Arabidopsis thaliana: one gene and its partners. The protein of the gene in region 2 purifies or fractionates together with the protein of the main gene of each other region. This does not show direct contact. Each region holds a gene or a part of one and is shown on either strand. Other genes may lie near its edges. The genes, in order: MCM4, ETG1, MCM3 and PRL.

Evidence for each region.
Region 1: the proteins of ETG1 (region 2) and MCM4 purify together in Arabidopsis thaliana (affinity purification with mass spectrometry, with the first as the bait; one large-scale study listed by BioGRID). This does not show direct contact.
Region 3: the proteins of ETG1 (region 2) and MCM3 purify together in Arabidopsis thaliana (affinity purification with mass spectrometry, with the first as the bait; one large-scale study listed by BioGRID). This does not show direct contact.
Region 4: the proteins of ETG1 (region 2) and PRL purify together in Arabidopsis thaliana (affinity purification with mass spectrometry, with the first as the bait; one large-scale study listed by BioGRID). This does not show direct contact.

The regions. Positions count from the first base shown.
Region 1 is NC_003071.7:7,125,699-7,132,742, reverse strand, and holds MCM4 (Minichromosome maintenance (MCM2/3/5) family protein), read left to right. Parts: upstream 1-2,013; 5' UTR 2,014-2,077; coding exon 2,078-2,114; intron 2,115-2,182; coding exon 2,183-2,872; intron 2,873-2,969; coding exon 2,970-3,098; intron 3,099-3,171; coding exon 3,172-3,253; intron 3,254-3,325; coding exon 3,326-3,458; intron 3,459-3,541; coding exon 3,542-3,613; intron 3,614-3,710; coding exon 3,711-3,833; intron 3,834-3,924; coding exon 3,925-4,038; intron 4,039-4,117; coding exon 4,118-4,330; intron 4,331-4,438; coding exon 4,439-4,537; intron 4,538-4,662; coding exon 4,663-4,823; intron 4,824-4,922; coding exon 4,923-5,019; intron 5,020-5,119; coding exon 5,120-5,281; intron 5,282-5,382; coding exon 5,383-5,463; intron 5,464-5,536; coding exon 5,537-5,615; intron 5,616-5,724; coding exon 5,725-5,861; intron 5,862-5,977; coding exon 5,978-6,037; intron 6,038-6,132; coding exon 6,133-6,207; 3' UTR 6,208-6,464; downstream 6,465-7,044. Other genes in the region: AT2G16450 (F-box and associated interaction domains-containing protein), read left to right, coding at 1-1,223. UniProt on the Arabidopsis thaliana protein: Probable component of the MCM2-7 complex (MCM complex) that may function as a DNA helicase and which is essential to undergo a single round of replication initiation and elongation per cell cycle in eukaryotic cells.
Region 2 is NC_003071.7:16,932,553-16,939,266, forward strand, and holds ETG1 (E2F target protein 1 (ETG1)), read left to right. Parts: upstream 1-2,068; 5' UTR 2,069-2,374; coding exon 2,375-2,542; intron 2,543-2,790; coding exon 2,791-2,904; intron 2,905-2,992; coding exon 2,993-3,100; intron 3,101-3,188; coding exon 3,189-3,320; intron 3,321-3,424; coding exon 3,425-3,466; intron 3,467-3,652; coding exon 3,653-3,754; intron 3,755-3,855; coding exon 3,856-4,092; intron 4,093-4,182; coding exon 4,183-4,299; intron 4,300-4,389; coding exon 4,390-4,592; intron 4,593-4,681; coding exon 4,682-4,817; intron 4,818-4,885; coding exon 4,886-5,113; intron 5,114-5,223; coding exon 5,224-5,291; intron 5,292-5,366; coding exon 5,367-5,481; 3' UTR 5,482-5,720; downstream 5,721-6,714. Other genes in the region: KT2 (potassium transporter 2), read left to right, coding at 1-78, 159-211, 295-412, 515-769, 847-1,964; AT2G40560 (Protein kinase superfamily protein), read right to left, coding at 6,153-6,714. UniProt on the Arabidopsis thaliana protein: Associated component of the MCM complex that acts as a regulator of DNA replication. Binds to the MCM complex during late S phase and may act by promoting the disassembly of the MCM complex from chromatin. Required for sister chromatid cohesion.
Region 3 is NC_003076.8:18,768,806-18,775,890, reverse strand, and holds MCM3 (Minichromosome maintenance (MCM2/3/5) family protein), read left to right. Parts: upstream 1-2,187; 5' UTR 2,188-2,284; coding exon 2,285-2,347; intron 2,348-2,442; coding exon 2,443-2,543; intron 2,544-2,731; coding exon 2,732-2,940; intron 2,941-3,039; coding exon 3,040-3,170; intron 3,171-3,262; coding exon 3,263-3,501; intron 3,502-3,575; coding exon 3,576-3,812; intron 3,813-3,913; coding exon 3,914-4,068; intron 4,069-4,181; coding exon 4,182-4,390; intron 4,391-4,474; coding exon 4,475-4,634; intron 4,635-4,720; coding exon 4,721-4,917; coding exon of another isoform or gene 4,918-4,929; exon of another isoform or gene 4,930-5,000; coding exon 5,001-5,060; exon of another isoform or gene 5,061-5,147; coding exon 5,148-5,237; coding exon of another isoform or gene 5,238-5,249; exon of another isoform or gene 5,250-5,329; coding exon 5,330-5,532; coding exon of another isoform or gene 5,533-5,536; exon of another isoform or gene 5,537-5,622; coding exon 5,623-5,842; intron 5,843-5,932; coding exon 5,933-5,989; 3' UTR 5,990-6,242; downstream 6,243-7,085. Other genes in the region: KASI (3-ketoacyl-acyl carrier protein synthase I), read left to right, coding at 1-249, 519-692, 802-915, 1,015-1,164, 1,236-1,302, 1,385-1,452; AT5G46270 (Disease resistance protein (TIR-NBS-LRR class) family), read left to right, coding at 6,801-6,812, 7,029-7,085.
Region 4 is NC_003075.7:898,335-906,091, forward strand, and holds PRL (Minichromosome maintenance (MCM2/3/5) family protein), read left to right. Parts: upstream 1-2,301; 5' UTR 2,302-2,349; intron 2,350-2,420; 5' UTR 2,421-2,467; exon of another isoform or gene 2,468-2,738; intron 2,739-2,841; exon of another isoform or gene 2,842-2,913; intron 2,914-3,040; exon of another isoform or gene 3,041-3,085; 5' UTR 3,086-3,149; coding exon 3,150-3,180; intron 3,181-3,271; coding exon 3,272-3,339; intron 3,340-3,442; coding exon 3,443-3,502; intron 3,503-3,590; coding exon 3,591-3,814; intron 3,815-3,901; coding exon 3,902-4,079; intron 4,080-4,166; coding exon 4,167-4,289; intron 4,290-4,369; coding exon 4,370-4,459; intron 4,460-4,718; coding exon 4,719-4,861; intron 4,862-5,011; coding exon 5,012-5,189; intron 5,190-5,482; coding exon 5,483-5,674; intron 5,675-5,767; coding exon 5,768-5,940; intron 5,941-6,033; coding exon 6,034-6,237; intron 6,238-6,313; coding exon 6,314-6,479; intron 6,480-6,557; coding exon 6,558-6,779; intron 6,780-6,864; coding exon 6,865-6,963; 3' UTR 6,964-7,257; and 1 more. Other genes in the region: STP7 (sugar transporter protein 7), read right to left, coding at 53-1,129, 1,216-1,535, 1,617-1,761; MSH6 (MUTS homolog 6), read left to right, coding at 7,745-7,757. UniProt on the Arabidopsis thaliana protein: Probable component of the MCM2-7 complex (MCM complex) that may function as a DNA helicase and which is essential to undergo a single round of replication initiation and elongation per cell cycle in eukaryotic cells.

The DNA of each region.
Region 1 (7,044 bases), 9.8 Mb from region 2:
AATCAGTCCGGAGGTTTCATTGCGTGTCGAAGCGATGGGCATCAATTTTTGGTAGTCCATATTTCAAGGAGTTGTTCCTGACCAGGTCCTCGACTAAGCCGCGCCTCTTATTCGCCATCGCAGAGAAAGGCAACAAAGAGAAAGACTGTGTGTGGAGGTTCTTCTCGTCGCCACAGCTTGAGAATCCATATGAGAAATCCTCATCGACTCTTGTAGCAACCGCTGAATTTCATGTGAGATTCTCTCCAGACAATCTACTGATCTGTCATTATTATGACCTAAAATATTTTTCAATTGGTTATGCCTTTGGCTTGATCTATATCTATGGTAATCGAGGCCGGGCTAGACCTCTAATATGTAACCCCACTACAGGACGGTATGCCATCTTACCTAATCGGTATACTTACAGAAAGGCGTTTAGCTTTTTCGGGTTTGACCCAATTGACAAGCAATACAAGGCATTGTCCATGGTTTATCCATCTGGTCCTGGTCATAGTAGAGTTATTACATTTGGAGCTGGAGATCTGAAGTGGAGAAGGATAAAATGTTCATTGCGACATGATATTAAGAGTGAAGGGGTATGTATCAATGGGGTTTTGTATTACTTAGGTGACACGTCGGATTGGAGTCGCGTTAATGGTAATCACGTAACGTCTGGTTATATGATAGTTTGCTTTGATGTTAGGTCTGAAAAATTCACCTTTATTGACGTAAAAAGGTTTTGTCGATTGATAAACTACAAGGGCAAATTAGCTGTGATTTATTGGGAGGATGATGTCGACATTCAAGAGCTTTATTACAAAAAGGGTATAGATGTCGAGGAATATGTGGAGAATAATGTCAACGCTGATGCCACTAATGAGTTGTGTGTGTGGATTCTAGCGGATGTTGAGAAACAGGAATGGTCGAAACATGCCTACACTTGGACCGATGAAAAGTTCTTCCGTCGTTTGGTATCCATCGCTGGAGTGACTGCTTCGGGTGAAATAGTGTTTTCGATGCGCAAGTGTAATCCTAAACAACCGTTTTATGTGTTTTACTTCAATCCCGAAAGGAACAGTCTCCAACGTGTTGAAATTCAAGGTTTTGGTGAAGCCGTTACGAAATCTTGTGACGTTTGCACCTTTGTAAACCACGTAGAGGATCTCAATGTTTACGATTTAAAACAACTCAAGTCAGTCCATCCTCCATTGGTCGAGCCAGAATATTATGATTCAGATTAAGAGTCAGACTGAGAAGGGACAAGGAGAAGAAGACTGACAAGTGACAAGGATAAGGAGATAGAGACGAGCCAGGTGAAAGCAATGGGCATGCCATTTTATGCTCTTACTTATGCGTTTTTTTTTTAAATCAACATTATCTATGTTTACTGTTTTTTTTTTCTCTTTTGAACGAGCTTTATATGTATCCTTCATTTTGTTTGGTCTCAAGAACAAGGTGTTGCAGTTTCTCTTAGTTCTCTGTCTTAATCTGAGTATCTATTCTTTGAATTTCAGCATGGTTTCTTCTGGATGAGATCTGTCCTCTGTTCTGTTTCAATATCTTGTTGTGTTTGTCGGTTGTGTGTGATGGGACTAATTTTCATGATGACACTTTGGACTAAATACTTAAATGGGATTTGTACAAAATCGTTCACTCACTTGAAGAAAACATTCCTTGAATTCTACCATTCCTGGTTTCTATTAGTCTCAGTCTTCATGTTTAAAGTATGCAACTTCTTGTTAGCTTAGTTTTGAAACTTTTGGTTCTCTGTAACAAAGGGTCTTGTAAGCTGTCTTTGAAAGAGGGAACATTCTCGTTAACAGTCTTTATGGGTCTTATGCTTTGTTGCTTCTCTAAGTTTTTTGTTTGAACTTGTGAATGGCGAATAGATGAGATCTGTCCTCTGTTCTTAACATCTTATTGATTTTGTCATTTGGTTTAAGAAATGGGACCAATAGGCCCAGGAATTAGGTCCATTAAAAGCCCAGTAATAATGGCGCCAAAATCAAGTGAAGTCCCCGCCTAATTCATCTCTTCTCACTAAAAAAGCGTCGAAACCTCTCACTCCGTCTCTCAATCAATTCTCCGATCAGCCATGGCTTCTGATTCTTCTCTCGGCAACACCAACGACGGTACTATCTCTCTCCCTCTCTCTAAATCTGAAACTGCTTCATAATTTTGACGAATCTCACTACCTCAGGTCCTCCTTCTCCCGGAGAAAACGTTTCAAGCCCTATCGAAAACACATACTCTTCCCCCGCCGCACTTCACCGTCGCCGGCGAGGAAGATCCTCTACTCCCACGCAATTCGCAACTCCTCCACCACCGCCTTCACGTCTCGCATCATCCAATTCCACTCCTCCAACATCTCGTCCTTCCGCCGCCAGATCTAAAGGAAGAAATGGACACGGAGGTGGCGGTGGTGGCGGTGGTGGCGGAGACCCAGGGACGCCAATGTCCACTGACGAGCCACTGCCTTCTTCCGATGACGGTGAAGAAGACGGAGGCGACGATACTACTCCGACTTTCGTTTGGGGAACTAACATCAGTGTGCAAGATGTTAAATCTGCGATTGAAATGTTTGTTAAGCATTTCAGAGAAGCTAGAGAGAATAGTGATGATTTGTTTAGAGAAGGGAAGTATATGGTTTCGATAAGGAAGGTGATTGAGATTGAAGGAGAATGGATTGATGTTGATGCGTTTGATGTGTTTGATTATGATCCTGATTTGTATAACAAGATGGTTCGTTATCCTTTGGAAGTTCTCGCTATCTTCGATATTGTGCTGATGGATATTGTTTCCACGATTAATCGTTTGTTCGAGAAACATGTTCAAGTTAGGATTTTTAACCTCAGGACATCTACTTCCATGAGAAATCTCAATCCATCTGGTTAGTATGATTCAGTTTTTGTTCTTCTTGGTTTCTTAGTTCTCTCTAGTGGTAATAGCTTAGCTTATGTTTGGATGTGTTTTGTTTGGTTGGTTAGATATCGAGAAGATGATCTCTTTGAAAGGTATGATAATTCGGAGTAGCTCTATCATTCCTGAAATAAGGGAAGCTGTGTTTAGATGCCTTGTTTGTGGTTACTTCTCTGACCCCATCATCGTTGATAGAGGTAATTTGGTCATTTGGATTTATCCAGATTTTATGTATCTGCATAGTTTCTCATAATGTTGTTTGATTGATAGGGAAAATAAGTGAGCCTCCTACTTGCTTGAAACAAGAGTGCATGACCAAGAACTCCATGACACTAGTGCACAACCGATGCAGGTAAGTTCTAGACATAGTATATGTCTGATTCTTATAATTTCTGTAACTTACCTTCTTTATTTTGTGTATCAGGTTTGCTGATAAGCAGATTGTGAGGCTTCAGGAAACACCTGATGAGATTCCAGAAGGAGGAACACCTCACACAGTTAGCTTGTTGCTGCATGATAAGCTAGTTGATAATGGGAAGCCTGGTGATAGAATTGAGGTAATAAAAGCAGTAATTCTATCAGGGTAGTACATTCATTCCTATGGTTTTCGTTGACAATCAAAAGCTTGTTTTCTGGATAGGTCACCGGAATTTACAGAGCAATGACTGTCCGAGTGGGACCTGCTCACAGGACTGTGAAATCTGTGTTTAAGGCATGTCATCTTATTTCTTCCTCTGTTAGTTATTTCCCTTTATTGTAATTACGTTCTGACATTGTCATTTATGTTTTCTTATGAATGTTGAGGACAGACCTATATCGATTGCCTTCACATAAAGAAAGCAAGTAAGTTAAGAATGTCTGCTGAGGATCCTATGGATGTTGACAATAGTCTGCGTAGAGTTGATGAAGATGTCGAGTTAGATGAGGAGAAGGTATTTCATCTATTTAACTAAAATGGTTCTACAGTTTTGTATCTTATTCATTCGTCCCTCCATTCCAACCAATATTTGTGTTACTTTTCAGCTGAGGAAGTTTCAGGAACTCTCTAAACAACCAGATATATATGAGAGGCTTAGTAGATCACTAGCACCAAACATCTGGGAGTTGGATGATGTTAAAAAGGGTCTTCTATGCCAGGTACTGTAACGCTTTTGATACTGACTTATGGTTTAAACAAAATTAGTTCTTTTTACTGAGTCAAATTTCAAATGTGAAGCTTTTTGGAGGGAATGCTTTGAACTTAGCATCTGGTGCTAATTTTCGTGGTGACATCAACATCTTACTTGTTGGTGACCCTGGTACGAGCAAGTCCCAGCTGCTCCAGTACATTCATAAGCTTTCACCCCGTGGCATTTACACAAGTGGGCGAGGGAGCTCAGCTGTTGGTTTAACAGCTTATGTAGCTAAAGATCCTGAGACAGGAGAAACTGTATGCTAATATTGTTTTCAATCTTTTTATTATCAGCTGTTTTTTTTTATTCTGTGTTTCAAAGTTTTCATAAACCTGACATGCTAACATGAATGCTACATTGTTTAGGTTTTGGAGAGTGGAGCTCTTGTTCTTAGTGACCGAGGTATCTGCTGTATTGATGAATTTGACAAAATGTCTGACAGTGCGAGGAGCATGCTACACGAGGTTTGTTCCTCTCTCTCTTTTTTAGCATTGCTCAAAGTCGTAGCTTACAGTTTTTGGGTGCCCCCTGTGAATGTGGTCTCTAGTCAATAAGATTGCATTACTGATGAACATTGTTTCTCTGTCAGGTGATGGAACAGCAGACTGTTTCAATAGCAAAGGCTGGTATTATTGCATCTCTAAATGCCAGAACCTCTGTGTTGGCTTGTGCAAATCCTAGTGGCTCACGTTATAATCCCCGGCTTTCTGTTATTGAGAATATTCACCTTCCTCCAACCTTGCTATCTAGGTATGTTGCAATCCTTCAACAATGTGACATTATTTTTACTAAAGGCTAATGGTTTCCTCTATTTGGTGTTACTAATTATAATCTCATTTTGCTTCTTAGATTCGATTTGATCTACTTGATTCTTGACAAGCCCGATGAGCAGACTGACCGAAGGCTTGCAAAGCATATTGTGGCCCTTCACTTTGAGAACGCTGAGGTCTTATATTATATATTTTCCCAGTGTGTATGATATGTTGACAGACAATTATTTTTTGCCTTTATCTTACTTAATTGGTATCATTTGTGTCAATATACAGAGTGCTCAGGAGGAAGCTATAGATATTACTACACTGACAACTTATGTTAGCTATGCCCGCAAGAACATTCATCCTAAACTGTCAGATGAAGCTGCAGAGGAGTTGACCCGAGGATATGTTGAGCTGAGAAAAGCAGGGAAGTTTGCTGGCAGTAGCAAAAAGGTGTGCCCTCGAAACTTCAATATCTTTTCTATGTCGTAACCAAGGCTCATAAAAAGGCTATGACTAGTCTAACGCTATGAAACGCTCTGAATTTGGCACAGGTCATAACAGCAACTCCTAGGCAGATTGAAAGTTTGATCAGACTTAGTGAGGCCTTGGCTCGGATGCGCTTCTCCGAATGGGTTAGTTAAACGCTCATATTATACATTTTCCTTTCATCGTTCTAAATCAACTGAAATGGTTTTTGTGATAAAGGTTGAAAAGCATGACGTGGACGAGGCATTTCGACTTCTCAGAGTTGCAATGCAGCAATCAGCAACGGATCACGCCACAGGTAGTTTTTTCACAGTAACTTTCAGACCCATTATTATCATCAGGATAAAGATAAACAGTAGCATTCAATACCAATCTAACAATAAACACCTGTATTTATGTTGGTGAAGGGACCATTGACATGGACCTGATAAATACTGGAGTGTCAGCAAGTGAACGAATGAGGCGGGATACCTTTGCGTCGTCAATTAGAGACATAGCTCTGGAGAAGATGCAAATTGGAGGATCATCAATGCGCTTATCCGAGGTATTCATGCACTACTCCTTTCTTTTTCCCAATTTTGTTATATGCCAAAAGCAAGCAAATCAGTTTACAATAAGAGAAACCGTTTCTTAAGTACAATGGAAATGTTGTTGTTGCAGTTACTTGAAGAACTGAAGAAGCATGGAGGCAACATAAACACCGAAATTCATCTTCATGATGTGAGTCATTTATAACACTTTGCTACATATCAAAAGGTTTTTGGTCTAAGGACAGAGACATAACAAAGTATTTGTTGTTGTGACGCATTAAACAGGTTAGAAAAGCAGTCGCGACGCTAGCGAGTGAAGGATTTCTGGTAGCTGAAGGTGATAGAATCAAGAGAGTATAATCACAGATTCATGAGGAAAGCTTAATATTGCTGTGATTAGAGAGTTTGATGATGGTTTTAGTAGCATATTAATAGTAGGATACCCAGCAAATGATGTGGCTCGGTCCATCTTCTCACTATTTGCTAATTTGTAATGACTTATTTTGTTACTAGATATCACTTTGGCACTGACAAAAAAATGGATCAAATATACTCCCAACAAAGCTAACTTGCGAATGAGATAGAAATCAATAAAATCGTTCCAACTCGACCAAACATAAGACAATGTGTGTATTCTTTAGATCACTACCAAAATTCAAAAATATCTTCATGCTTATCAATTTTTATATATAGCAAAAATAGTCTTCCTTCAGTCTTATTCTCGTAAACTATTATTCACTTGATGAAGTTATTTGTATCTTCATATGATATAATTAAGAATTTTTAAAAAGAACAAAAAACGAAGAATAATCATTTGAAAAAGTTAGAGCATTGCAATTACAAACTTTATAGCATGAAAAGGTGGATCGTACAAAAGAAGAAAGTTAGATAAAAAGATTGAAAATTGGGTCCACATAGAGAACATTATTGGATTTCGATAGAGATATGGTATGGACTAAAATGACAAGTGATCATGCGTTCAAAAAAGTAAACGATACGATTGGTCTCTAACTTTCTTCGTTTCTTATTCGTAAGGACGTGGAACTCGTTACTCCTTACCTCTCTTAGTGCTCCATCTCTCTCATGTCACCTAGACTTCGTATAAGTCAACTTGATTGTATTTTGACATGGTTAGGCAAATGCTTCGATTTGTTTTCCGATATTGATATCTGATTAATCCGGAAACACATATAGATC
Region 2 (6,714 bases):
CATACATGTTCATGTTCTTGAGAAAGACGAGAGTAAGCGGATGGATGTCTCTAGGCGGGATCTTGTTGTGCATAACTGGTGAGATATATAAGAAATCGATATTGTTAATGTCGCCATAAATAATGTCAGTAATCTAACTCGTTGAGTCTTTGTTTTAGGTGCTGAGGCCATGTTTGCTGATCTTGGTCACTTCAATTACGCAGCAATTCAGGTTAGTTTCTACTTTAGCTTGGATGATTTACTTATTGTTATATCGCCACAGGTTTCAATAAATCTTTGTTTTGTTTGCTGTAGATTGCGTTTACCTTCCTGGTTTATCCGGCTCTTATATTGGCATACATGGGGCAAGCTGCTTACTTATCCCGGCATCACCATTCTGCTCATGCAATTGGGTTTTACGTCTCTGTACCAAGTCAGTAATTTGCCTTACTTCAAGAACTCAATTTTTTTTTGGTGTTGATCATTGAAAACGTAATCTGATCTTTTGTTTATATAACTCCATGGTTTTGAACAGAATGTTTGCACTGGCCTGTGCTTGCTGTAGCAATTCTTGCTTCTGTTGTGGGAAGCCAAGCGATCATCAGTGGGACTTTCTCAATCATAAACCAGAGCCAGTCTCTCGGATGCTTCCCTCGAGTCAAAGTCATTCACACGTCCGATAAGATGCATGGTCAGATTTACATACCGGAGATTAACTGGATGCTCATGATTCTCTGCATCGCTGTTACTATCGGGTTTAGAGATGTCAAACACCTGGGAAATGCATCAGGTATGAGATTCTTTTATCAACTCAAGAATTTTGGATTCTTCGACTTTGAGATTATATTCCTTTGTGGTTGGTTGCAGGTTTGGCTGTAATGGCGGTTATGCTAGTGACAACATGTCTTACCTCATTAGTCATTGTTCTTTGCTGGCACAAGCCTCCAATTCTAGCGCTAGCGTTCCTTCTCTTTTTCGGTTCAATAGAACTTCTCTACTTCTCGGCCTCACTCACCAAATTTCGTGAAGGCGCTTGGCTTCCGATCCTCTTATCTCTAATATTCATGATCATCATGTTCGTTTGGCACTACACCACCATTAAGAAATACGAGTTTGATCTCCAGAATAAAGTCTCGCTTGAATGGCTTCTTGCATTGGGTCCAAGCCTCGGAATTTCTCGAGTTCCAGGTATCGGTTTAGTCTTCACGGATTTAACCTCTGGAATCCCCGCCAATTTCTCCCGGTTCGTCACCAACCTCCCTGCCTTCCACCGTGTTCTTGTCTTTGTCTGCGTGAAATCTGTCCCTGTCCCGTTCGTTCCACCTGCTGAGAGATACCTCGTGGGTCGTGTTGGTCCCGTTGACCACCGCTCTTACAGATGCATCGTTCGGTATGGATACCGTGACGTCCATCAAGACGTGGACTCATTCGAAACAGAGCTCGTAAGCAAGCTGGCGGATTTCATCCGTTACGATTGGCACAAAAGAACACAACAAGAAGACGACAACGCTCGTTCTGTCCAGTCCAACGAATCCTCAAGCGAGTCAAGACTAGCCGTGATCGGAACAGTAGCTTACGAGATCGAAGACAATCTCCAACCAGAGAGTGTCTCCATCGGATTCTCCACAGTCGAAAGCATGGAAGACGTCATACAAATGGCCGAACCAGCCCCAACCGCCACCATAAGACGGGTGAGGTTTGCGGTTGAGGAAAACAGTTACGAGGACGAAGGATCAACATCGTCAGCAGAAGCAGATGCGGAACTGAGAAGCGAGCTGAGGGATTTGCTGGCAGCGCAAGAAGCAGGAACTGCGTTTATATTGGGACATTCACATGTGAAAGCGAAACAAGGATCATCGGTGATGAAGAGATTAGCAGTTAATTTCGGTTATAATTTCTTGAGAAGGAACTGTAGAGGACCTGACGTGGCTCTTAAGGTTCCACCTGTTTCTCTTTTAGAAGTCGGCATGGTTTATGTTGTTTGACTTATGAAAAAACTAAATATATGAAAACCTAATTCCTCTGTTGTAAATTCGTCATGTTTAGCTTCATAGATCTCTGTTTCTGTGTTTGTGAGTCTGGGGTTTGACTTTTAACAAATCTTAAGACCAAGATGGTCAGAGGATCATATATGCCAAATGAATTAGTTTATTATACACATGAAACGACATCGTATGGAGAGGGGTCCAAAACGGTGCGTTGGAAGTTGGAGAATGGGCATGGATAATGGCGGGAATAACCTAGGAGATATGGCGGGAAAGGCCCAACTATACACACTTGACATTGCCCTTAATTCGTGTTTGAGCAAAGACTCAATCTTTCATCTCTAGATTCTTGGCGATTCTCGCTACATAGTACTTTGGTAAAGAGTGAAATCAAAGGTTGGTTTTGAGATATGGGAGGACCAGCTTACGATTGTCTGACCAACCCTTTAGGAGCCGTCCGATTCTCCTTCGTAAATGCTCTGTCTTCAGGCTACGATCCGGCTTCGTCTGTCGGAAAAGACTGGGGTGTCGTTGATTTGTTCCGTCACTACTTCTCCGACGAATCTGCTATCTCCCAGGTTTGCCCTAAAACCTTTACTCTGTTTCTATTTTTTTTTGGGTTTAGGGCAATTGAGTATGTTTTGATTAATTACTACCCAATTAGCATAATAGGTTGATTTTTTCGTGTACTTTGGCTCTGTTTCTAAGTAAATCAGCTTACTTTAGGTTTTAGTCTATCCATAGATTGGTTAATTTGGGTTTTTTCAAGGATCTGTTTTGAGATATTTTTCTTAATTAACCGATAGTGTTTTCTTTTGTCTACTAGGTTCCAATTCTTGATTCGTCAAGTATTAAGTGGGTGCAACCCAAGACTCTTGTTCGGTTTCGTGGAATGATACAGGACATGCTTGGGAATGAATTCTATGCTGGTGCTTACAAGGTAGGAATATGACTTTTGATGGTTTCTACTAAAGAAGAATTCAATCTTTATCTATCAGTAACTGTTTCTGTTTTTACGTTCTGTTTAGGATGATTCAACATGGAGAACAAACAAGTACAGTGATGTTTCACAGTTTCCTGAGGGTTCTTCCACTGAAATTCAAGTTTGGGAGCGTCGCTTGCTTTACTGTGTTCCAGTATGTTTTGTCTCATGCGGATCTTTCTTTTTTGTTGTTGGTCTCTCATATATGTTTAAACATAATAACACTTGATTGCAATGTTTAGGTTCCGGGAAAAAACCAGTGGACTGAATGTTCTTCACAAGAGCTAAAAAACCGGTTTTTGGATCTAACTGGCCAAAACAGGGAAAAGCGTGTGAGGGTGGATGAAGAAATGACTGATTCCATGGACTCCAGTGTAAGCAACTTAGGTTCTCATGTTTGCTTTATATGAAACTGATTTTGTTGTAGCAACATCTATTGGTGTTGTTTGTCAATAACTTATTTTAGCCACCATTGCAGACTTTAGAAGCTGGGCGTAATGGTTCTCCTTTTAAGAAAATGGTAAGGATCTCTAGTCTCTTAAGTCTTTCTTCAAAGTCTTTATGAGTCTAACACTATAAGCTACAAAGTTGTGGAAAAAACCATATATTATAAACTTTTCTTTACTGTTACTGGGAAGAATCATGAGACATTGAGATTTTGGCTGATGAAGAATTTCTGATTAATACTGTTTTTTATGTTCATCAGAAAGTGGGGGAAGCTACTTCATCAGCTTCAGAATCTCAGGTTCCACAAACTTCTGGTATTCCGCCTGCTACAAGTGCAGATTCTCTGCCTTGTCTTGTCAAGGTAAATATATGTTTACATTGTTCTTTATATTACCTGTTAACATGTGTATACAAAAGCAGCAAAGACTAGTCTGTTGACAAGATTCTTATGCGGCCACGCAGATCTATGATTCTCCAGAGTCAGATTTGAAGCTAAATGATGTGGTTGAATTTCTTGGAGTGTTGACCTTCGATCCAATTGTTATGATGGATACAGATACACTTGATGAAAACTCTGATGCTCTTTCTGAAGCTGAATCTGTTCAGATGCCCTCTGGAAAGGTCCCACGCCTCCATTGTCTTATCCATAGAAAGCTTGAAACACAGCATTTCCTGCATGGTTCTTCGTTATTACCAGAGGCAAGTATCATCGATTTAGAAAATATACCTCTCATACCTATTCGTGTTTTGAAATTTGTTTTAAATCTCTTGTTACTTTCCATTTAGCAGCCAAAATCCCCCCAAATATTCAAAGAGATAAGAGAGAGTTTGATGAAGTACCTTACCGGTCTACTTGGGAATGATCACATTGCCGCACAGTTCCTATTATTGCATCTCCTGTCAAAGGTAATTAGTTGAAAAAGGATCACTTGTTTTTATTCTCAGCTATTACTGCTACGGCCTTCTATATTCATATGTTTTTTTTCTCCTTTACAGGTGCATGGAAGAGTAGATAATGTTGCTGTTGGGAAGCTTTCTCTTAATCTCATACACCTTAATAAAGAAAGCATGTCTATCTTCGGTACCCAGCTCAGTGGTGCCCTCAAAAGCCTCCTACCGTTCACACAATCTATACCACTTACTATTGAGTATCTGAACACTGCCTCGTTCGGTCCCAAGAAAGACTATGGAATCAACAGGTAAGAATCCAGTTCTACGAAATCTTAACAATGGTTTTGAATCATTCTTCTCTTGAAAGACCTGCAATTATATTGTTTTTATGACTCAGATTGATGCCTGGAGTTCTACAAATTGCTGATGGTACGCACTTGATATTGGATGAAACAGAGTTGCAACCAGGCACCTTGAACTCTGTTGGAGTTGAGAATGCAAATCTGCTTAAAAACCTCTTGGAATGTCAGAAGGTAGGGCAACGTCATTATTCACTTTTAATCAGATTCAAATATGAATATGGAATCTGCTGCTATTTCAGGTTGAGTATGATTTCCAATATTACAAAATGGAAATGGCCACTGATGTTCAAATGCTCATATTCTCCGAGGGAAAGTCGAACATAATGCCCGCCGATTTGGTTCTACCTCTTCAACCTTCTCAAGTGAATTCATTGGAAGTCATCACACCAGAAACAGCTGAAACTTGGAGGTGCTACTTAGCTACTTGCAAATCATTATCACACTCCATTGGGCAAGAGTTGCAACAGGTATGTATATATCTATTGCATTAATGTTAGAATCTGCCAATCTGGTACTTCTAAAGAAATCCATTGTTTTCAGACTTTTGACTAATATTTTCTGCAAATTTTTGTTGCAGGTGGTGGAGAATGATTTGGTTGCAGCTAGACAAACAGATCGTAGTTTAGGCAGCCAAGACTTGAGCAGGTACAAAAGCCCTCCTTAGGGTTTATCCTTGTCAAATATGTGCAAAACTTACAATTATGTTGTTTGGTTCCACAGATTGTTGACAATGGCTCGTATGATGTCTGTGAGTTATGGTGAGACTACGCTTTCACTAGAGCACTGGCAAATGGTGTTGGAACTAGAAAGACTTAGAAAGGAGAGGCTCAAGTAAAACCACCGTAACGAACAAGATGTATTATGGTTTCGAGACTATTTGGATATTGTAATTTTCACTAAGTTATCTGAGTAAGAAGAACCATATCGTTTCATTTCCTATCTATTTATTAAGGTTCAACTTTTGAGCTATTGACTGGTAATGGAAAATGTTTGAGAAAGAAGAAAACTTGGAGACTTCAAACCCATTCCGGTTAATTTTCATCGTTGATCTGACATGGTAAATACTGAATAAAGCACATGCACACTGTGACACCTCTACTTTAAAAAGTACCAAATAGATAAACTGACTAGAAGATTATTTTCTTGTGATGCAAGTAAGAAACAAACTCAACCAATCGACCTTACTAAAGTATACTCTTCTATAAAATAAAGAAATTTCTTCTCCCCCGTATGTAAATTGAAATCACCAGATGGAAGTCTTGGTATAGAGATATATCGATCTGATAATCTTATCACGGAAGAAGACTTTGGTCTCGATTGCATATCTCTCACGTACGACTCTCGTTTGTATGAATAGAAAGAACAAAGACACACACAATTTAACGAGTTCCCAAGGTCAAACCGATCCTTGGTACATCTCGGCTAGGCTTTGCCATAGCAAATTCACTATCCAGTTTTTTTTTTCTTTTTTTTATACATATGTACACAAGAGAGATAGAGAGAGGATTAGGTCAAAAGAAGCTTCGAGAAACTTGGAATCAACGACCTAGATATCTCCTTGTTGTCTTCTGTTGTTGGCGATGGAAGTCCTTGTGTAATAAAAGGATGTTTCAAGAGCTCAGTCGCGGTGGGCCTGCGTGAACGCATGTCATCGCATCGCCTTAAGAAATCTTGAGCCTGCGGAGAGATAACGTCACGCAAATGCCATACGTAAAATTCGTCAAAGTACTCCTGGATAGGTATAGCTCCAAACATCTCATTAACCACACACCCTAGAGAATATATATCAAGGGCTGGATCGATATGTCCCGGATCGATCAGTCCGTTTGGTACAAAAGAGTCCGGGGGCATGTACTCAACAGTACCAAGGGACGTAGGATCATGATCGGTGTCAGGCTCTTTGGATGAACCGAAATCAGCAAGCTTGAGATCCCACGGCTCTCCAGGAGTTGTGGAAGGGAAGAGGAGAACGTTGGATGGCTTGAGGTCGCAGTAAACGTAACCATGGGAGTGAAGAGCCTCGAGTCCTTCTAGGATCATACGAGCCGTGCGACTGACCAAAGACTCA
Region 3 (7,085 bases), on a different chromosome or scaffold from region 2:
AACTATTCGATTTCAACTGCTTGTGCTACTTCGAATTACTGCTTTTACGCTGCTGCGAATCACATTCGTCGTGGTGAAGCTGATATGATGATTGCTGGTGGGACTGAGGCTGCTATTATTCCTATTGGGTTGGGAGGTTTTGTTGCTTGTAGGGCATTGTCCCAGAGAAATGATGACCCTCAAACTGCTTCCAGGCCGTGGGATAAAGCAAGAGATGGGTTTGTTATGGGTGAAGGAGCTGGTGTTCTGGTATGTTTCACAAATTCTTAATCTCTCATTGATACTATGAATCTACATACATTTGGCTTGCTCTGTTTTGAATTGTATATAAGAGCCTGTTTTGGTCTTAGTTTATAGAATCTGATGAAACTTGTGTTCCCTAGTCTATTAGCTCTGGAAGTTTCCTTGCACTTGAATTGTACTACATTTTCAAAGTTGGTTTATCTCACCATGAGATTGGCTCATACATGTGACATTTTGTTTTGGAGAGACCCACTAATTGTTGTATGCCCTAATAGGTGATGGAAAGCTTGGAACATGCAATGAAACGTGGTGCTCCAATTGTAGCAGAATATCTTGGAGGTGCTGTTAATTGTGATGCTCACCATATGACTGATCCAAGAGCTGATGGTCTTGGGGTTTCTTCATGCATTGAAAGATGCCTGGAAGATGCTGGTGTATCACCTGAGGAGGTAAAAAACACAAACTTTTCATGCTTCCTAAGTTTTAAGGCTATCTGAAACAAATTTCTTCATTAGATTCGTGTTACTTCCCTACTTATATTCATTCCACGTTTTTCAGGTAAATTACATCAATGCACATGCAACTTCCACTCTTGCTGGTGATCTTGCTGAGATTAATGCCATTAAAAAGGTATTCAAGAGCACTTCAGGGATCAAAATCAACGCCACCAAGGTTCGTCCCCAATGCTCTATGATTGAGTGTTCTTCTTCTCCTCTATTTCAATGTATTTGTTTGCTTTGCATTTCCTGTGAATGACAGTTTCTGTTACAGTCTATGATAGGTCACTGCCTCGGTGCAGCTGGAGGTCTAGAAGCCATCGCCACCGTGAAGGCTATCAACACTGGATGGCTGCATCCTTCCATCAACCAATTTGTACGTATAACAGGAAGTCAAGAAAAGGCTTCTTTGATTCCGCTTTCAGTTTGAACTGTTGCAAGATTTGAACTTGGTCATTGTATTAGACTCTCACACTCTTTGTTTTCTCATTGTAGAACCCAGAACAAGCTGTGGACTTTGACACGGTCCCAAACGAGAAGAAGCAACACGAGGTTGATGTTGGTAAGTGACAAACATGACCGCCTTCTCATTGGATTAAACTGGCAACAGTTTCACTGATTAATGTCTTTCTGTTTTGCTGCAGCCATATCAAACTCGTTCGGGTTCGGTGGACACAACTCGGTAGTCGCCTTCTCTGCCTTCAAACCCTGATTTCTTCATACCTTTTAGATTCTCTGCCCTATCGGTTACTATCATCATCCATCACCACCACTTGCAGCTTCTTGGTTCACAAGTTGGAGCTCTTCCTCTGGCCTTTTGCGGTTCTTTCATTCCCCGTTTCTTACGGTTGCTGAGATTTCAGATTTTGTTTGTTCTCTCTCTTGTCTGCGGAATGTTGTGTATCTTAGTTCGTTCCATATTTGCGTAATTTATAAAAACAGAAACTGAGAGAATCTTGTAGTAACGGTGTTATTGTCAGAATAATCCAATTAGGGGATTCTCATCTTTTATTTCTCAACAATTCTTGTCGTGTTTTTACATTCGAAGAAATTAGATTTATACTGAATTTTTTTTCAGTTATACATATGTTGTGATACATCCGAAAATGTTCTCAAATCACACAGGTTTATTTTGGTTTTCATATATACATTTTTCGGTTTACTGGCTTGAAGGCAGTAGCAAAAGTTAAACCGAATTTACAATGAATTGATTTGGTATGTCTGGTTTTTGGTTTAGAATCTGGGTGTATTATACCGCCTTGAGGAAATCAAACGCGCCAAACAAGCGCGTAGACGTAAGTCCAAAATTGTACCGGCCCAAATTTGGTTAATCAAAAAGCACGTAGACGAAAGGCCCAACTAATATCGGCCCAAAATGACCCTTCCCGCCAAAAAGGGTACAGGTTATCTCACGAAATCCCGCCATAAGGAGAAGATCCGCCCTTTATGCCTCTCGAAATCGGAAATCGAAAATCTCTAATCAGTTTTTTTTTTTTAAGTAGAAGAAGAAAAGTTCTTACGAAGAACCCAGATTTTGTTAAGAAATGGATGTGCCAGAGGAGACGAGGCTTCGCCACAAGCGAGATTTTATCCAGTTCCTCGATAGTGTAAGTCGATTTCTATCACTTTTCTCACCAGACATTTCTCGAGCTTCTGTTCTTATCTAATTTGAAAAATTGGATTTTTTTTACGGATTGTGTAGATGTATATGGAGGAAATCAAGGCTTTGGTACATCAAAAGCGTCACCGTCTCATTATTAATATCTCTGACATTCACCACCACTTCAGGGAAGTTGCCTCTAGGTTCGTCATCTTCTCAATTTGTCTTCCTCGAATTTTTAATCGGTTCTTTAGTATAAGGTTATGAATTTACGGCAGATTTTAGGGTTTTGTTAGATTCAGTGAGGTTAATTTGGGGATTTTTAAGGATTCACTACAATTGTCATATGTTTTGTGACCTTAAAGTTGATTGCTTTGGTTTTTTTGGATAGGATACTGAAGAATCCAAATGAGTATATGCAGTCATTTTGTGACGCAGCCACTGAAGCTACTCGTGCTATTGACCCTAAATACTTGAAGGAAGGAGAGCTTGTCCTTGTTGGTTTTGAAGGTTATTTTGTTTCTCGCGTTGTTACTCCTAGAGAGCTTCTCTCTGATTTTATTGGATCTATGGTCTGTGTTGAGGGCATTGTCACCAAATGTAAGCTCATCATTTTCACTCTATTCCTCTGCTTTTCTTCTGTTTCCTTTGTGTTTTACGTAGAAGATTTTGAACCTCTGACACATGCTTTGCTTTCAGGCTCTCTTGTGAGGCCAAAGGTTGTTAAAAGCGTTCACTTTTGTCCATCAACCGGTGAATTTACCAATCGAGATTATCGAGACATAACATCTCACGCTGGTTTACCCACTGGCTCTGTCTATCCCACAAGGGTAATTACATGTTTTTTGTTTTCGTTTTGTTCATTTACCTGTACTGCTGGAAGATTTGCCTCTTACTGAAGATTGAGTTTTTTTTTGTTCAGGATGATAAGGGAAACTTATTGGTGACTGAGTATGGGCTGTGCAAATACAAAGATCACCAGACCTTGTCAATTCAAGAAGTGCCTGAAAATGCTGCTCCTGGTCAGCTTCCACGAAGCGTTGATGTCATTGCTGAGGATGACCTTGTTGACTCATGCAAGCCAGGAGATCGAGTATCTGTTTTCGGTATTTACAAAGCTCTTCCTGGAAAAAGCAAGGGTAGTGTAAATGGAGTCTTTAGGTGCGTTTTCTTACACATCTGTTAGTTCAAGATGTTTTCACTCTGATAGTCTTGACCGAGTTCTTTCTGTGTAGGACTATCCTCATAGCCAATAATATCGCTCTGCTCAATAAAGAAGCAAATGCACCTATATACACTAAGCAAGACCTAGATAACATTAAAAATATTGCACGAAGAGATGATGCATTTGATCTCCTTGCTCGTTCCTTAGCACCTTCTATTTATGGGCACGCTTGGATAAAGAAAGCAGTAGTTTTACTGATGCTTGGTGGTGTTGAAAAGAACCTGAAGAACGGAACCCACTTGAGGGGGTAAGTCTTGCTTGAAAACAGATTTCAGATTCGACTCATTGGATACTTTTTGTCTAACTCATTTTTCTTTCTTCACTTGAAAACAAATCTTGTGCTTTCAGAGACATCAACATGATGATGGTTGGTGATCCATCTGTTGCCAAATCTCAACTTCTGAGAGCGATAATGAATATTGCACCTTTGGCTATATCAACCACAGGCCGTGGTTCTTCCGGTGTTGGGTTAACTGCTGCTGTGACTTCTGACCAAGAAACAGGTAAAAAGCACACAAAAGCGTTTCCACATTTTTTTATCAAATGCTAAAATCAAAATTTGAAGGAAGGTCAAAAGTGCTATTTCTCATTAAAATCAAATTCTCATTTTCATCAGGGGAACGAAGACTAGAAGCTGGTGCAATGGTCCTCGCTGATAAAGGTATCGTGTGCATTGACGAGTTTGATAAGATGAATGATCAGGACCGAGTTGCTATACACGAAGTGATGGAGCAACAGACTGTAACAATTGCAAAAGCCGGTATCCATGCATCACTGAATGCTAGATGCAGTGTGGTTGCAGCTGCAAATCCCATATACGGAACTGTAAGTTCTCACCGAAGTTTTCCTAATCTACTTACTCTACTGACTAGTATTTTTTTGTCCTAATACCTACTCTTGCTCCTGCAGTATGACAGATCACTGACTCCAACAAAGAACATTGGACTTCCAGATTCGCTGCTTTCTCGTTTTGATCTACTGTTTATTGTGTTGGATCAAATGGATGCTGGTATCGACAGCATGATTTCAGAACATGTCTTGCGCATGCATCGTTACAAGAACGATAGAGGTAGGAAACAAATCATGCTTCTATGTTTTACTAAACATTTCACAACCCATGTCTTGAAACGCATCTGACTTTTGAGTGAACCATAGGTGAGGCAGGGCCAGATGGGAGCTTGCCTTACGCGAGAGAAGACAATGCTGAGAGTGAAATGTTTGTTAAGTATAACCAAACACTACATGGGAAGAAGAAAAGAGGCCAAACACATGATAAAACCCTTACGATTAAGTTCTTGAAGAAGTACATTCATTACGCCAAGCACCGTATTACACCAAAGCTCACTGATGAAGTGAGACAGTGAACTCAAATATATAAATTTTTATGTATCTGATAATCTCTTCCACTAAATCTCTTTTGTTATTAAATTTGCAGGCATCGGAACGTATTGCAGAAGCATATGCAGATCTCAGAAATGCAGGTTCCGATACTAAGGTAATTTATTTCATAAAATAACATTGGACACTGTATCTTTTTCGTCTTGGGAACTTGTATTTGACACAACCATCGAAATCTCTGCAGACTGGAGGTACGCTTCCGATAACAGCCAGAACTCTAGAGACAATAATTCGTCTTGCTACGGCACATGCCAAAATGAAGTTGAGTAGCGAGGTAACAATCTAACTCAAATCTTCTGTTTCCCCACCTGGTCGTGAATATGTTCTATTCAGATTCTTTCTAAAGTGATAACTTTATTTTGAAAGGTTACTAAAGCTGATGCAGAGGCTGCCTTGAAGCTTATGAACTTTGCAATATATCATCAAGAATTAACTGAGATGGATGATCGTGAGCAAGAAGAACGTCAAAGGGAACAAGCTGAACAAGAAAGAACACCAAGTGGACGTAGAGGCAACCAACGCAGGAATAATGAAGATGGAGCAGAGAATGACACTGCAAATGTCGACAGGTAAACTAATTTGATCTCCTCCATGGAAACCTATATCACAGCTTTCTCAACCCTTATACTTTTTTCTTTCTCTTTTGCTGGTCCATTCAGTGAAACAGCAGATCCAATGGAAGTAGATGAACCTTCTGTAGAGCAATTCAGCGGCACGGTCTCTGCAGCAAGGATTGAAACCTTTGAGCGAGTGTTTGGGCAGCACATGAGGACACACAGGCTCGATGACATCTCTATTGCAGATATAGAGACTGTTGTCAACAACAATGGGGTTGGAGCATCTCGTTACTCTGCAGATGAGATTATGGCTCTCTTAGAGGTAATTCACAAATTAAGAGACAAGCTTTCTCATTCTTTAACTTTTTATACAATATCTTCATAACTTTACTCTATTGTGGATTTTATGCAGAAACTGCAAGATGATAACAAAGTGATGATCAGCGATGGCAAAGTTCATATCATTTGATCATATGAAGAAATCAATATTGATTGCATCATCATCATCATATTAGAACTCAAAAATAGTGTAGTAGTAAACTCTTGGAAACCAAAATATCATTTTGTAAAATCTTTATTCATACGTTATGTTTTTTGCATTTACTAGTGAAGTAAAACTGATGATAAAATGCTTAAAAAAACGCATCTGATTATAAAATTTGGAATTTATAACGAAAAGCACAATCCGAGAATAAAATACTTTCATATTTATCCTATAATTTCTTGAGCTGTTTATGCCAAATTTTATACATATGTAATCGACATCAAGATTATAGTGTATATGTTGTTTTAACCCAATGGTAAGAATAGAGTTGTGCCATATATAAGCCAACTTCAAAACCCTAATAATCACTACCTTGGAACTCTCTCGTCTAAAAGATCCATGTTTTTCCATTTGGTCTCTATTACTTTTTTTTTTTTTTTCCAAAACATGTTTGCTTTGTCCATGATGGATCCTATACGTTTCTAAAATTGTACATATAATCAGGTTAAATTCCACAAAGACGGATTGAAATCAGTTTTGGTATACAGAGTAATACAACAAAATCTATTTTTTTTTTTGTTGCCAAATAACAAAATCTATTTTGGTAGGTTACTGCACACGTTTCTCTATCAACCCTAGTCAAAACAATTGAGTTACTAAATAAACTTACGTAGTTAGGCCATACATGTCTCTGATTCAGACCAGAGCTTCTCAGAAATGTTAAGGCCATGAGCAAGAGAAACTTGTCTCCACTCTAAGAATTCTAAATTCTTAAAGTAATCATAAAGTGAGACGTATGTGTAGTAATGTAAGGGGATAAGACATTAGAGGCTATGAAACATTTGCTTATGACCTTGTACAAAAGATGATTAAGACATCAAATTGGAAATATCCGTCAAGTTGTGTCTGAAACAATAGTGAAACTGATTAGTGAAGACTTTTGTGGCCGTGTTTAATATTTTTATATAATTAAATCACCAAGACGTACGATTACAATCTTAATCTCCAAAGTCTTTGTTCATAGTTTCCTCCTCTCATTCTCTCTATGGCTTCTTCATCTTCTTCTCGAAACTGGTTATAT
Region 4 (7,757 bases), on a different chromosome or scaffold from region 2:
AAAACCTTATAGTAATACAAACATAAGTTTCTTGAATCAGTTTATATTCTCTTTAAACAGATACATTCTTGCTCTCATCTTCAAGATTTGTTGCATCAGGTAATACTTTTTTCCAGAACCAATGTTTACTCCATAAGAGTGTCATCTCTTCTATTGGAACTCCTTTGGTTTCAGGCAACAGGAAATACACAAAGATAGTCATTACTGTCACCCAACCAGCAAAGAAGAGGAAGATTCCAAACTTGAATGCACAGAGGAGACCAAGGAAAGCTTGAGCTATGATGAAAGTGAAGAGGAGATTTACAGCTACTGTGATACTCTGCCCCGCTGAACGAGTCTCTAACGGAAAGATTTCGCTAGGTATGGTCCAACCTAGAGGACCCCATGACCATCCGAACGCTACAACAAAGAGGCAGATGAAGATGACTACGATCACTGAGTACCCTTTTGATAGCTCTTGGTTGTCTCCAAATTTCACTCCTAAGATCACTGCTACTATGACTTGACAGATTATCATTTGTATTCCTCCAGTTATGAGAAGAGCTCTTCGTCCCAATCTGTCTACTAATCCTATGGAAATAAATGTTGATAGGACAAGAACAGCTCCTGTTAAAGCTGATGAATAGAGAGATGCGTTTCCTCCAAACCCCATTGTCTGGAACAGAACAGGTGCGTAGAAGAGAATGGAGTTTATCCCTGTGAGTATCTGAAACATTGGCATGCAAATAGCCATAACTAGCTGAGGCCTGTGTCGTTTCTGCAAGATGTTTCTGAATGGATGTTTGATGGAATTCGCAAGCTCACTCGCATCTACCATGTCTTGAAGCTCGGCGTTGACGTTTTCTGTTCCTCTTAGCTTCACTAAGACTCGTCGACCTCTCTCTGTTAATCCTCTTTCGACCAAACTGTTTGGTGTCTCGGGTAAGAAATACCCGCCAAGCGTCATAAGCAGAGCTGGAAAAGCAGCTAAACCAAGAGAGAGTCTCCATCCCCAAGGCTTAAGCTGTTGAGTACCGTAATTAACCATGTTCGCTGTAAAGATCCCGATAGTTGTAGCTAGCTGAAACATCATGTTTAAACCACCTCGTAGATGAGTTGGTGCCACTTCTGATAAATACAAAGGAACCGCCTGAAAGCAAAAACCAAAGCAAGGTAACTTTCATTAGAGATGAGATTGGTTTATTATTGGTGACACCAACTAAACAATTGTCTAACCTGATTTCCAAATCCAATACCAACACCAAGCATGATCCGTCCGGCAAGAAGCATAGCTAAGTTCACAGCTCCAGCATTCAAACCAGATCCAATAAGAAAGCTGATTCCACCACAAACAATACTCGCACGCCTACCGTAGTTCCTAGTGATGGGTGAAGCCACGAGAGTCGAAACCAAACCAGCTAAGTAGAGTGAAGAAGTGAAAGCAGCTAAGCCTTGATTATCATATTTGCAGTAATTACTTTCATGAGCTTGCTTCTTCTTCTCATAAACCGTGTGGAAAAACTCCTCAAGAAACTCATCCATCGATGTAACTCCTCCTGCATACAAACAAAAAACCATTTCAGCCATTGTTTGATAAGATTATTAAGAAATTGGATTCAAAAGATGAAGAAAAGAACCTGAGATTCCAATGTCATATCCAAAGATGGATCCACCAATAGCTGCAACAAGGCAAGCGATTATAACATAACTAGTGACTTTCCCTTGGTATTGTTCTGCTCTCTCCTTAGCCACACCGGTCGGACCAAACGACCCTCCTGCCATTTTCTTTTCTTCTTCTTCTTCTTCTTCTTCTGCTACTACTTTGCTTCTTTTTAAGAGTTTGTTGCAACGGTTGACTTTTTTTCTTGCTTTTACTCAAATTCCAGAATCTGAGAGACAACGAAACAAAAAGGGTTATACACATTTACATCTTCACGTGGTTAGATAGATTTCAATTTGGTTAGGTTTTGGGAAAATTTTAAATGTGAAGTTTTGCCACTTTGAGATTTGTGATAATTGCGTATGGATTCGTGTTTGGTACATAATTGTTTGGAATTAAGTTCCAACAAGTAAATACGTCATTTTCTTGACCTTATCTTCACATAACAAATTAAAAATTTAATACTGATTTTGCATGTCTTCCTCCTACTTTGATCTCTATTTCCACAAAAATCATCAATGCTCGTTGGAATATTGTCAGAATATACTAATGCTATATAAGAAAACAAATACAAAAAGAGGTTTTATACTTTTTTGGTCAAATGTCATCTTCATAATAAAAAAAAAGATTACGATCTTATCCCGTTCTAACAAGTAACACCTCGGAAAAAAAAGAAATCAAAATCCTTCCTAGTAAAAAAAAAAAAAAAAGTTGGTTTCAGACAGAAAGTGAAGAATCAAGACAAGTGTGATGATTTTCGTCATAGGTTGAAAGAAAACAGATTAAAAAAAAAAGAAGAGGACTTACAGGAGAAAGAAGAAGGAAGATGTAACGATTTGTTGTAGACTGGGAAATGATTCAGACTTGTGTGTGCTATTTATTCCATGGATTTTTTGATCGCCTACTATGAAGGCGATGTTAAAGATGATGTTGACCAAGTTTTGATCAAAGTCGAATACAGAGAGACTAAATATACAACAACAAAAAAAAAAATCAAAAGCTTTAAATTCACACACACAAATTTCGATAGTAGCTATGGATTTAAGACAAGTGTAAGAAGAAATCACACTAGTTTTCAACGTAAGGAGGATGATGAAGATGACATTATTGTATCCACATTTGTCACCCATTTTTTGGAAACAGATGATAATATTATTAAATCTTTGGTTAATTAAATACTAAGGGAAAGAAATAACACAAAAGTGGTTGTAGTATAGCGGTTAGTATCCCACGTTGTGGCCGTGGGGACCCGGGCTCGAATCCCGGCAGCCACACTTTTTGTTACCTCTTCTTTTTTATTTCCAGCAGGGGTAGTTTCGACATTACATTAATCACGTGATCATTAGATCTGGACCGTTCATTTTACTCCCCGCCATTTCTCTCTATAATACTTTTCCCGCCTAAACTCATCGTCATCTACAACCCTTTTACCGCCCAATTTTGCAGTCACTGGTTCATTCCTTTCTCTTCTTCCTCTTCCACTCTCTCTCTCGACCCAAGTTTTGAAACCATGAAAGACCACGATTTCGACGGCGACAAAGGTTACATTCTCTCTTCTTCTCCGTTCTCGATAATCTTTTCCCTCTTTTTTCGCTGAGTTTTGATTCTCACTTTTTTTCTTCTTGTATATAGGGCTTGCCAAGGGATTTCTCGAGAATTTCGCCGACGCTAATGGCAGATCTAAGTACATGGAGATTCTCGTAAGTCTCATTTCCAATATCTTCCACCAATTTCTCTCTTCTAGGGTTTTCGCGAATCTCCCTAATTTTAGGGTTTTATGTTCTATTTTATGAATTTGTGTAGCAAGAGGTTTCAAATCGTAAGATTCGAGCTATTCAAGTCGATCTCGATGACTTATTCAATGTGAGTTTTTTTTTGTTTCTCTCTAATGTTGTTTCTGTTTTGGATGTTGCTATTGTAGAAGCCACTCATCTCTTTTGATATTGTGTAGTATAAAGATGAAAGTGAGGAGTTTCTCGGACGGTTGACGGAAAACACTCGCCGATATGTTTCAATTTTCTCCGCCGCTGTTGACGAGTTGTTACCCGAACCAACGGAAGCGTTTCCAGATGATGATCATGATATTCTCATGACTCAGAGAGCAGATGATGGGACTGATAATCCAGATGTTTCTGATCCTCATCAGCAGATTCCTTCTGAGATTAAAAGATATTAGTAAGTTTTGTCTGAGTCTATTTGCTGGACATAAGCTTTAGGGAATGAGTTTTACAATAGTTTGCTAATGAATTTACTTTTATTCAGTGAGGTTTATTTTAAAGCTCCTTCAAAGGGAAGGCCATCTACCATCAGGGAGGTTAAGGCTTCACACATTGGGCAACTTGTTAGGATATCTGGTATTGTGACCCGTTGTTCCGATGTCAAGCCATTGATGGCGGTTGCTGTTTACACATGTGAAGATTGTGGTCATGAGATTTACCAGGTACAACTATGCTTTTGCCAGATTGTAGTTTCTTTTTTATTTTGTTAACTACTAACTCTGATTATTTTCTTTTACATGTCAAATCAGGAAGTTACATCTAGAGTCTTCATGCCTTTGTTTAAGTGTCCTTCTAGTCGCTGTCGTCTTAATAGTAAAGCCGGGAATCCTATTCTTCAGCTCAGAGCATCAAAGTTTCTAAAGTTTCAGGAGGTTCTGTTTCTGGTCAATGAGTGCCATTTATGTGAATGCACTGATATCAAACTAATGAGTAAAAAATCATTGTCTTGCAGGCCAAGATGCAAGAGTTGGCTGAACATGTTCCCAAAGGGCATATTCCGAGGTCTATGACTGTTCATCTAAGAGGAGAGTTGACAAGAAAGGTACCTTTTCTTGACCTCAGTCTCATGCTACTATTGGAGTCTATTTGTTCTACTTTCGGAATCAATAGCTCGGTTGCTTAGGAATAGTCCAATGAGAAGTTGTTGTTCGGCTTAAAAGCATATGCTGAACAGTTGTTGATTAAGAGGATTTTTTTTTCCAATGTTGTACTGGGACTCTATCTGTAGATATTGTGATATCAGCGTCATTTACTATCGTACAATTGTGAAATTCTTACTAAATTTCCTTAAACCCTTGTAGGTATCACCAGGTGATGTTGTTGAGTTCTCAGGGATTTTTCTTCCCATTCCTTACACTGGGTTTAAGGCACTTCGAGCTGGCTTAGTAGCAGACACCTATCTGGAAGCAACGTCTGTTACTCATTTCAAGAAGAAATATGAGGAGTAAGGCGTTGTTACACCTTTACACTAACGAAACATTCTGATTTAGTAACCTATTCCATGTTTTTCTGCATTTGCTTAAGATACAAAGCAGCTTTCGTGTGTGCACAATATCAGAAAGCATCTTTATACCTTTTTCATTATGATCTACAGATATGAGTTTCAGAAAGATGAGGAAGAACAGATTGCACGTTTGGCTGAGGATGGTGACATATACAATAAGCTGTCGCGATCCCTGGCCCCTGAGATTTATGGACATGAAGATATTAAGAAAGCTTTGCTTCTCCTTCTTGTGGGTGCTCCTCACAGGCAATTAAAGGATGGAATGAAGGTGAACTTTCCTGTCCTCTGATTTATTCTGGCAAAATTTCCATGATATTGCTATCTATTATGATAAAGAGTAAAGACTGTACACTGATTAGAAAGCAGTTGCTTGCTTTAGTTCATCTCCGACTATATTGTTTTACCTATTTCCATACAGTGTCCGCAGTCTTCATTGATTGAGTTATGGAGCTTTATTATTTACAAACATGTTCAGTCATTCAAGAGCACATTGCACTTGATTGGAACACATTTTATCTGTGAAGATTTAAAAACAATACATTCATTAATTATCTTTTGCAGATTAGAGGAGATGTGCATATCTGTCTGATGGGTGATCCTGGAGTTGCCAAGAGTCAGCTTCTCAAGCACATTATAAATGTTGCTCCAAGGGGAGTCTACACAACAGGCAAAGGTAGCAGTGGAGTTGGTCTAACTGCCGCTGTTATGAGAGATCAAGTAACAAATGAGATGGTTTTAGAAGGAGGAGCACTGGTGAGAGACAATGCCCTTTTGCTTTGGATATATTTTAGAAAATATGATGTAAGAGCTATGTGATTTAGAAGTTTGATACAATCTCTATCTCAGGTGCTGGCTGACATGGGAATCTGTGCAATTGATGAGTTTGATAAGATGGATGAATCAGATCGTACTGCTATTCATGAGGTCATGGAGCAGCAAACTGTAAGCATTGCAAAAGCTGGGATTACCACGTCTTTGAATGCTCGAACAGCTGTTCTTGCTGCAGCCAATCCAGCCTGGTAAGTGAACTCTCATGATATGAATTAAAAACTCATGAATGTTGAGTGATCATTGCTATCATTATTGAACTATGTATCTTTGTGTTTATGAAGGGGAAGATATGATTTGCGAAGAACTCCAGCTGAAAACATTAATCTTCCACCGGCCCTTCTTTCAAGATTCGATCTGCTGTGGTTGATCTTAGATCGAGCTGACATGGACAGTGACCTTGAATTGGCAAAGCATGTGCTTCACGTACATCAGACAGAAGAATCTCCTGCGCTTGGTTTCGAGCCTCTGGAACCCAACATTCTCCGGTAAGTTAAATCGCTTTTACAGCATTCTTGTTCTGCAAAGTCAGAAACTTTAACATGAGCATATTTGGTTCTCTAGTGCATACATTTCAGCTGCAAGGAGATTATCACCATACGTCCCAGCAGAGTTGGAGGAATATATAGCAACTGCTTATTCCAGCATCAGGCAAGAAGAAGCGAAATCAAATACTCCTCATTCTTACACAACAGTGAGGACACTGCTCAGCATTCTGCGCATATCCGCTGTAAGTAGAATTTGTGTAGGAACTTGAGTAAATTAGTTGGACTATTGAGTGTTAATATATTTCCGATTTGTTCTATAGGCATTAGCAAGGTTGAGATTTTCAGAATCAGTGGCACAGAGTGATGTGGATGAGGCGCTTAGACTAATGCAGATGTCGAAAATATCATTGTATGCTGATGACCGACAAAAAGCAGGACTAGATGCAATATCAGACACATACTCAATCATAAGAGACGAAGCTGCAAGATCAAAAAAGACCCATGTGAGCTACGCAAATGCCCTGAACTGGATCTCCAGAAAGGTTAGTTTCTTCCTTCATCTTCATCTTCATGTTCTTTCTGAAAATGGATGATCACTGAGACGAGAGATTTGGGGTGTGAAAACAGGGATACAGTGAGGCTCAGCTAAAGGAGTGTTTGGAGGAATATGCAGCTTTGAATGTTTGGCAGATTGATCCTCACACCTTTGACATCCGTTTTATCTGAGTAACACCACCCAAAAAAAAAAAATGGAAACAAACCAAGTCTCTCTTGTTATGTTGTGTGCTTTATCTCTATTATCTTATCACATTTCTTAACGTAGAGACCTTAGAAGTGGAATCTATAGAAGTGATCTCTTGATTGCAGAACAAACTTTACTTTTGGAAATTTAGATGTGACTTTGTACTCTTGCAGTTCTTTTCACTCTCGCAAATTTACTACGGTTTTGATCTAGGTTTGATTAAAACACTTCTTAGTCTAATTTTGTATCCATGTCAGTAATATACTTTCAGTTTGGTATAATTTGATTTCATTATTACAATCATAAAATATTGTAAGTACCATGCTAACATATTTTCAAAAAAATTCTAAAAGTGGAATTTTGGGATTTTTATGACAATTTTGGAAAACAGAACAATTTTCGGTTTAGTAACATAACAGATCGGTTCTGGATCGGTTTAAGAATTAATGGGCCATATTATTATACTTTTAAGCCCATTAATACAGAGCAAAGCCCATTTACGTCGTTGCAATATCTCACTCACTCCATAAGCTTTTAACGGCATGAATAATTCGATTTTCGAGATGGCACAGAGAGAGAGCGAGTATTATTACTAGAGCGTTGTTTCCCGCCAATTAGCAACTTTCGCCGGCGTATTTTCCCGGTGAAAAATTCCCGCGCAATCTCTTCACTCCATAATAAGCTTCTCTCATCAATCTCGCTCTCTTCGCCGACTGTTTCACTCCCCTTCTCTCTCACTCTCTGTGCGCTTTATTCCACTCTCCGATGGCTCCGTCTC